2 linked regions of the Schizosaccharomyces pombe genome follow. The gene in region 2 interacts genetically with the main gene of each other region. Each region holds a gene or a part of one and is shown on either strand. Other genes may lie near its edges.

Region 1 (3,973 bases), on a different chromosome or scaffold from region 2:
ATTCCTGAGGAATATCTTGTTGAAAATCTAGACCTTGTAAAGAATGGATGTTCCAACATGGTAAAACACATTCAAAATTGTCATAAATTCAATATTCCTGTTGTTGTCGCCATCAACAGTTATAAGACTGATAGTTCTAAGGAGCATGAAATAATACGCGAGGCAGCGCTACAAGCTGGAGCTGTGGATGCTGTACCTTCGGATCATTGGGCCCAAGGCGGCAAAGGAGCTATTGAATTGGCCAAGTCCGTAATGACGGCTTGTGATCAGTCATCCAATTCGAAGTTTAGGCTTTTGTATGATAGCGAGACTTCAATTGAAGATAAAGTAAATGTGATTGCAAAAGAAATGTATGGAGCAAACGGTGTTGAATTTAGTTCTCTAGCTAAGGAACGAATAAATACGTTTATCAAACAAGGGTTCGGTAACTTACCAATTTGCATGGCGAAAACCCAATATTCTCTTTCGCATAATCCCGAATTTCGCAATGTTCCAAAAAATTTTACAGTTCCTATTAGAGATATGCGTTTGAATGCTGGCGCTGGCTTCATTTATCCGCTAGCTGCTGAAATCCAAACAATTCCTGGTTTACCGACTGCGCCTGCCTATTTAAACATTGATATATGTGAAAATGGAGAAATTGTTGGGCTGTCATAAATCTACTAAGAGGAAATAAAGAAAATGTTGGCTATTCATTGGTAATTTATTATTGTTTTAGTTAATTAGGTTTATGGGCGTTATTAAAAAGGGTTTAGAGTTTTGATTAAATAGCTTAGTTTTAATAATTAAGTTCATTAGAATTTGGGTTAATAGATGGGTTTGAAGCTTTATGCTAACATATCCGCTATACGCTGGATAGATATAATCAAATCGTGAAACCGATTTGAGTGTTTAATATAAGTTTCATCTGCAGAACCATTTGTGGGCAAAGAACACAAATGTTGAAAAGGTTTGAAATCAAACGCAGAAGGCCAAATAATTTCAAGCAAGACCCAGAACGAAGCGCATAAAATTTCCGTCGGCCTATATTCGATAAATTGACAATCTGTTCAGATTAGCGTGCTATCCATTAATATATTATCAATCTACTAACCCTTCATTACCTCAACCAGTAAATACTGCCATTCAACCATCATTTGATCACAGCTTTCAGAAGGCAAGGATTTAAAGAATACATGTTGGAAGATCAACGGTGTTAAAAAAGACTCAACAGAAGGAAGAGAAATGACATATATATCGAAGTTTAATAAAGCAAGAACAATTTTCTCGTATTTCTATTAATTTGTTAAAGAAACATGTTTCAACGAGCTGTAAATCACTACAAACCTCTAAGTTTTTTGTAGACAAACTTGGAGCCAAATTCTCGCAAAAAGACTTCTTCGCTACAAAAGAAATTAATAACAGTTTTTATCGCGAACATACCAACTGAGTAGTCACTTGTAAGTTTAAATGCAATGAACAGACAGCCGATAGCATAAATTTTAAAACTGGTAGTTGGAATAGTTGGTTTAACGGTGAAACAACGATCCAACAGAGAAATTGCAATGCACAACGTGTCCATAGATACGTAGCCGACAGTTTCCTGTTTCGTTAGAATCTCGAAAAATAGCAATGCTGACGCACTTCATAAAGTACAGAAAAAAGTTGCTGACGCTTTTCCTTATAAGCAATGTTTTGATTCAGAATAGAAGGGGATATTTTTGTGAGTCCTTTCTTCTCTTGCTCAATGATCGAATTAACGGATGGGACGCGTCTAAGATTTATTAAATGACTAGAGAAAGACTCAGAAAATGTAACATCTATTTCATTAGAAGTTGTTAACGGCCCTTCAGAAATAACCTCTTTCTCGGATTTGCTGTTAATAGCGGGAGTGTTTAAGAATAAGCTAAATTCGTGTTTAGATGTAAGCATTTCATAAATTTTATAATTTAAATGATTATTAGAATAAGGATGTTTGTTTGAATTAAGAAATTCAATAGTGATTTTCTAAGTCTAGCCGTATCTGGGTATGTGTTGTGGTTAAGGTCATTTTGGTACGTTTACGCGAAAATGCTTTTGGATATCAATCATGCATAGTAGAATTAAACAGTCTAATGCCATATAAATGCTTATAGCATATACTTATATAAACATGAAATAGAAGTATAACAATAATTAGTATTAGAATTGCTATAAATTCCAGAGAAGAGAAAACACTGCTAGCATAAATAATAACTATGGCATTCCTGAACCGGTGAAGTAAGGAGATACTCAGGTTTGATTTGCATTGTTAGAAAAAGCATGTGTAGATGTAACGGATGGAACAGACAACACTTGATAGGGTGGAGGTAATGAATCTGAGATGCTCGCTGAGGCAGAAGGATAACGAAGATTAAGAGTTCGAGAGATATTTATAAAGTTGTTAGAAAACCCGTATAAGTAAGTGTTGTTAGATGCTTCACGAGTATTGGGAGCTTCAGGAAGTAAAGCAGGTTCTGGATATGGCGGTAAGACACGATTCCCATTGCATCGACCAATACCTATTCCATGATAAGATATGCGAGGTCCATGCTTTTTAAGTTTCGCCAACTGACGAAGCTGAAGTATTCTGGCGTTAGGCGTATCAAAGGATGGATATGGATTTACACCGCCTTCGCCAGCTTTAGAAAAATTCAAGACAACATCAATTCCTTCTCTCTCACCTTCAATTCCAACTAGCCGTTCATTTTCTTGAAGGCTCGCAGAATATTTTGGTAAAGTGATAGAAGGCTCGACTATTGGAAGATCGTACATATCTGTTTCCAACTCTTCCTCATCATCAATAGACATGCAGCAGAAAATGGATCTTAGCAGTCTGTTCTTTTGGTAAGTACAACTATGATATCTTTTTATAATGATCAAGGCAATAAAGAAAATAGGGATTAAAACAGAAAACCAAAATACCTAAAATGTTAACCTTTAAATTTCAACAATTTAATTAACTTACAAACCGTAGTTCTTTTAGGTCTTCTGTGCTAGCAAAGCTAGAAGCTTGATCATTTTCATCAGACGATTCAACCATTTGATCCTAATTCAAAGCACTCAGCCAAGCTTAGCATAAACTTGTTAATGAAATAACAAGCAAAGCTCCAAAAAAAAGAGAGAAAGATTGATTTTCCTTCGGATCCCACTCCAGTTACAAATGGTTAAAGGATGAGATTCGACTTCATGCGAATAATGCAAATACCAAGATCATGTAAACAAACAAACGCTCGAAAAAAGTGCCAAGTTCAACTCATACATTTTATCGAGTATAAAAATATGGAGACAAAATAAATAGGTTTACTATTTCATCTATTGTTCATTTTTTAAACGATCATGGAATCTTATGTAATGATTTGTATTTTGAGTTTTCTATTAATGCAGCAGCTTCAAGCGCAAACGTCTGCTACTCATTAAGTAATCCATCTCCCCTTAAAGATAAAATTAATAAAGGACTTTAACTAATTTTTTTTATCATCAAATTTGGTTCGCTAAGGAGACAACAATATGCTGAAGCGTTTCTCACGTATAGTTATTTTTTTTATTTTATTCCTCTTTATTAAGTAGTAAAATTAAATTTTGAAGGTTCATTGGCGAGAAACGCTTCTATTATGCAGCCGACGTTTTGTCGTTAGTAGACCTAGTCCATCTGGAAATATCCAAGCTAGAACCAAACTTGACTTTACGGCCAACTTTGCTTTATTTTTAATATTTTTGGATTATTTACGATGGACAACGAAAATAATAAAAATACAAAAAATTCACAGCAAGACAGCTCATTTTCTGAAGGAGGAATTCGTGAACTGCTAGACCGATTGGCGTTGAGATCTTTGATAGAAAAAGAAGAAGCTGCAGCTCCCCCAAAGACTTACGAAGATTTCAAATTTTGGAAAACCCAGCCAGTTCCTAAGTTTGGTATGCCTATCCTGGTTTGTTGAAATATACTCTGAGATTCTTTTATACATATTAATGC
Region 2 (4,457 bases):
TCAGGTTCATGAGAAGAAAGATAATCTATTATTTTTAAGGAGATTTTTCGGATTTGTGATTCCTATACGTTCAGTTAGTATTTAAATGATACAGCAGTAGCGATTGTTTATACACTTACTGCATCAGATAACCCCCAGCCAGAATGTCTAATCAAATTTCTGTTTATAAGATAGGTGGGAAGCAATTGGCAACAATCATATAGAGCAGTAACACACACTATACGAATGCTTGCACGTATATCATGAATCCTTGAGAATAGTACACTAGTAAAAAGGTTAGAGTCGTTAAGAAAAGTAGTATTGCCAACCTATCACAAATGTCGTGAATCATGTCAATGAACCTAGATGTTAAGTCTCTCAGTACCAGAATTTCCGCAGTTTGATTTGATTTTTCGGAAAGTTTGTTTACTATAAGGCATAAGCATCGCATGATATCACAGCAAATAGTTGTTGCAGTATGTCTAACAAGCATCCAAGGACTTGTCGTCATGGTAAAAATCCAAGCTTTTGTAGTTTCCATGAATGAGTCTCCGAGGAATGCGTCTTCCACGTAAACTTTACTGATGAATTCGACCAAAAAAAGCTGAAAACGAATACGCACCGTTTTAGCTTCTTTAGAGTTAGAAGTATAAAGATAATCAGTATAAGCGCAAGAAGACTAGCGATATGTATGGTAAGTAAATATTACAAAAAGATGATGCACACACCTTTTGAAAACTTGAACGATTGACCTGAGACAATGTTTCAGGAATTGAATCTACGTCCTGTACATCAAAGTTCGTAACGAAGGGTTGACAACCAGAGGCCTATGAATTAGTTTACGTTTCAAAGGAAGAGTAAACAAAACAGCAAAAGCTAGAAAACGTCGCGGATCATTCCTGCTAAACTTACAACTAATGCGAAATTTATAAAGGTCAGCATGAAGTCAGCGCTATTACTTTTATAGTCTTCAAAATAATGTTGAGAAAGTTGCTCGAGCGGCATATCTATATCCAACAGTTTGACTTTTCGTATGCTTGTTAGAATATATTATCGAAGACTTTTTTTCTCTTATAAGCAAGCAAACTTACGAAAAAATTCTTGTGGAAAGGCATAATCATGAGAATTTACGTGCATCTCTTCATTCGTCTCTATTTCATTATTTTCTTCATTCTCCGTCAAAGAAAATTCATCTTGTGTTCCCCATTTCCGCTTTTTTTCTGAGGGCGAGGCACAAATGCTGACATTCTGTAAACTTGGACCTTCATATTCAACATTTTCAAGCTCCACGCTTTCTAATTCAGTAAGGACTTCATTGAGATGACTGCTTGCATCTGATTCAAATTCGAATCTCATTGAAATCACTCAATTAATTGGTACGATGGTGGTTGGTTATGGCAAAGATTAATCTAACAGAAACGATGGGTTTGTTTACGTGACACGAGTCGCGTCAGTCAGTCATTAATTATTTTGCAGTTCACATACAACCATTGCAATCAAGTATATAATAATTTATTAAAGTTTTACTTTTGAAACATAAAGTAACTAATTTATGAATAAGAACGCGTTTTTACTCGGAATTTCGGGCTTTTCCCTGACCCCTTTTGAGAACCCACCAACTCCTTTTTCTCATTAGTAGTAGCTCGGTATTCCTTTGCAAAGTCCTACTCCAACTTTTGGTTAATACTCTTGTTCGTTGGTTTCATTTGAGATTTTTAGTTCTTGTACTGTTGTAGTACTAATCTTTCTGGTCAATCCAAAAGATTACTTTCCTCGAATCCTTCGTTCAATAGTATCTTCATATATTTGGGTGTAGAGTCATTTTTTCGAATTTTTAGAAGTCGAAAAGCATCTAAATTTTTAAGGATCTTTTCCAAAGAGAAGACTAGGGTTCCTACCTGAGTAAAAGGCAGTTTGAAAACCGACTTTCATCGCATGTCCAAAACTTTCTAAACAAGTGTGTGCTGGTTTACTAATGGACGTTTCGACTCAAACAAGACACGCAACATATTTTCAAGATGAGAATCAGCTACAAAAGGATCACATTTATGTGAAGAAGAAAAGTCACATCAAGTTAAATACGGGTGTTCGTGCACCTTTCAAGGCAGTAGATAACATCAATCAACAAGATGAACCAACATTGATTGAAGGGAATAATGAATCCTCCATCTCTTCGTCCACTGGCGACACTTTTGAAGAGGATTTTGCATACCAGGACAAAGTCGAGATAGAGGAACGGTCAATTCGCTCCACTCCTAAGTCTATTGGAGATGATGATTTGGAAAACCGTGAGGGCAGCTTTGACGCACCTGAAGGAATTCTTACACACGGGAAGCATAGACTACCAACAATTCCCGAGTGGACCAAGGAAGATTTAGCCGCCCTGTCTGAAGCTGCTGCTCGATTACAAGCTAACCCATCGCCTGAGGATATAGAAACTGATCCATCCATGGTACCAGACTATGATCCTGAGATATTTCACTACATGCAATCTTTGGAAAGGAAGCTGGCTCCACCTCCTAATTACATGTCAGTTCAGCAAGAGATTGACTGGGTTACAAGACATATGCTTGTTGATTGGATTGTGCAAGTTCAAATACATTTTCGTTTACTTCCTGAGACATTATTTTTGGCGGTAAACCTTATCGACCGGTTTCTTTCCATAAAAGTCGTATCTTTGCAAAAAGTCCAGTTGGTAGGTTTATCAGCTTTGCTGATTGCCTGTAAGTATGAAGAGATACACCCTCCAAGCATCTACAACTTTGCGCATGTTGTCCAAGGGATCTTCACCGTTGACGAAATCATTAGAGCCGAGCGCTATATGCTGATGCTTTTGGATTTTGACATTAGTTGGCCAGGGCCCATGTCGTTTTTGCGTCGTATAAGTCGAGCTGATTCTTACGATCACGACATTCGCATGCTCGCCAAATATCTTCAAGAAGTAACCTTGATGGATGAAATTTTTATAGGTGCCCATATTAGCTTCATTGCTGCTACTGCCTACTACTTGTCTATGCAGATGTTGGGTCATTTGGATTGGACTCCTTGCCATGTATATTATAGTGGGTACACGGCTCGTCAATTGAAACCGTGTGCCATAATCATTATGGAATGTTTGGTCGATGCCCCTAACCATCACAATGCCATTTACCGAAAGTACTCGGAGAATAGAATGAAGCGAGTTAGCGCCTTTGCTCACAACTGGGTACTAAGTGTGATTTGAGTTTGCTTTCAGAAGTTGTTAACAATGATATTCTGAGTTAGTTTGCTATTATTAAGCCTACGATATTTATTATTACGGATCATTGTCTTAATATTTCCTACAGCAATCACTCGAGGGCATTTTATATCTTACCTAAGGTAGTAGTTTTTCTCCACTCCGTTTGCTAAGTTTGTCGTTTAAACCACCCCTATTATCCCCCAGAGACTTGGAACTACTGTCTATTTTATAACTATCTTTCCGAATTCCCTCTTCCATCTTGTTTTCTATATCTTTTACTATACTTAAATAACGTTACGGGTATCTCTATTGTAATTATTTTTTGATACCCCTTAAACCATTTTTATTTTTTTGGATTAATACCTTTTTAATTTAATTTTGTCCTACCTTTACACAATCGTCTCATCCGACCTTTGGGCATGATCGACGGGTTAATTGGACTAATTGTTGCTACTGATCTTTATGTAGTTAGGCTTAAACTTTATAAATAACATAACTATTTTTACCTTTTCTCTTCATATTTGTTTCACGTCCTGCATTGGTTTCACAAATATTATTGGGAGATCATTGACAGTCCATCACACCTTGTATAACGATGTTTGCACAGGTCTAGTATTTTCAATCTGGTGTATGTTAGTATGCTTTCAGACATCTATTGTTTTGTAAAAATCAGCCATTTGTGGTTCATCCTTAGTAGTAAAGATGCCTATTACATACTTCAAGTCTATTTAAGAACTGAGAAAACCCACTCGATGTTTTTTAATTAAGTATTCATACGTAGTAATTTATCTCATTTATTCATTTTTTAGCAACTCTAAACTCATTGGACACCAACAAGTTATAATTTCAGCAATCTAAGACGTGTTCTATCATCGTTTAATCCACAACAAAACTAACACAATTGTTTTATTAATTATCATCATCTTTGTTTGGCATGTTGATTAATATCGAGGGAATTCAAGCATTTTGTCAGACAATTCGAAATCCTCGTCGAATAATCCCACATGCTACATTTCCTACATTCTCCCAAATTCCTTGTAACATAAACTACTTTTTGGAACAAAAATTTCAAGTACCAGTTGATATTCGTGCCTTGGTTCTCGACAAAGATAATTGTATCACTTTGCCAAATGAGACTACAATTGCTGAAGCAGAATTGAAAAAGATTAGGGAGTTCCAAAATATTTATGGAGAAAAAAACGTTATCTTGCTCAGCAATTCCATTGGAACTAGGAAACTTGATCCAACTGGAGAACTG

Evidence for each region.
Region 1: of cig1 (region 2) and crs1, changing one enhances a phenotype caused by changing the other (phenotypic enhancement), as found in Schizosaccharomyces pombe (one study listed by BioGRID).

Annotation. Positions count from the first base shown.
Region 1 is NC_003423.3:3,451,496-3,455,468, forward strand, and holds crs1 (cyclin Crs1), read right to left. Parts: upstream 2,022-3,973; 5' UTR 1,912-2,021; coding exon 1,624-1,911; intron 1,583-1,623; coding exon 1,423-1,582; intron 1,383-1,422; coding exon 1,327-1,382; intron 1,275-1,326; coding exon 1,094-1,274; exon of another isoform or gene 1,046-1,093; coding exon 828-1,045; downstream 1-827. Other genes in the region: ade9 (trifunctional formate-tetrahydrofolate ligase/methenyltetrahydrofolate cyclohydrolase/methylenetetrahydrofolate dehydrogenase), read left to right, coding at 1-657; protein mug110, read right to left, coding at 2,251-2,922, 2,966-3,040; myr1 (N-myristoyltransferase 1), read left to right, coding at 3,729-3,915. UniProt on the Schizosaccharomyces pombe protein: Has a role in meiotic chromosome segregation.
Region 2 is NC_003421.2:1,225,591-1,230,047, forward strand, and holds cig1 (G1/S-specific B-type cyclin Cig1), read left to right. Parts: upstream 1-1,635; 5' UTR 1,636-1,954; coding exon 1,955-3,202; 3' UTR 3,203-3,713; downstream 3,714-4,457. Other genes in the region: meiotic cohesin complex STAG protein Rec11, read right to left, coding at 1-62, 120-264, 309-658, 708-806, 892-1,004, 1,071-1,335; cardiolipin synthase PGP phosphatase domain-containing Gep4, read left to right, coding at 4,134-4,457. UniProt on the Schizosaccharomyces pombe protein: Required for efficient passage of the G1/S transition.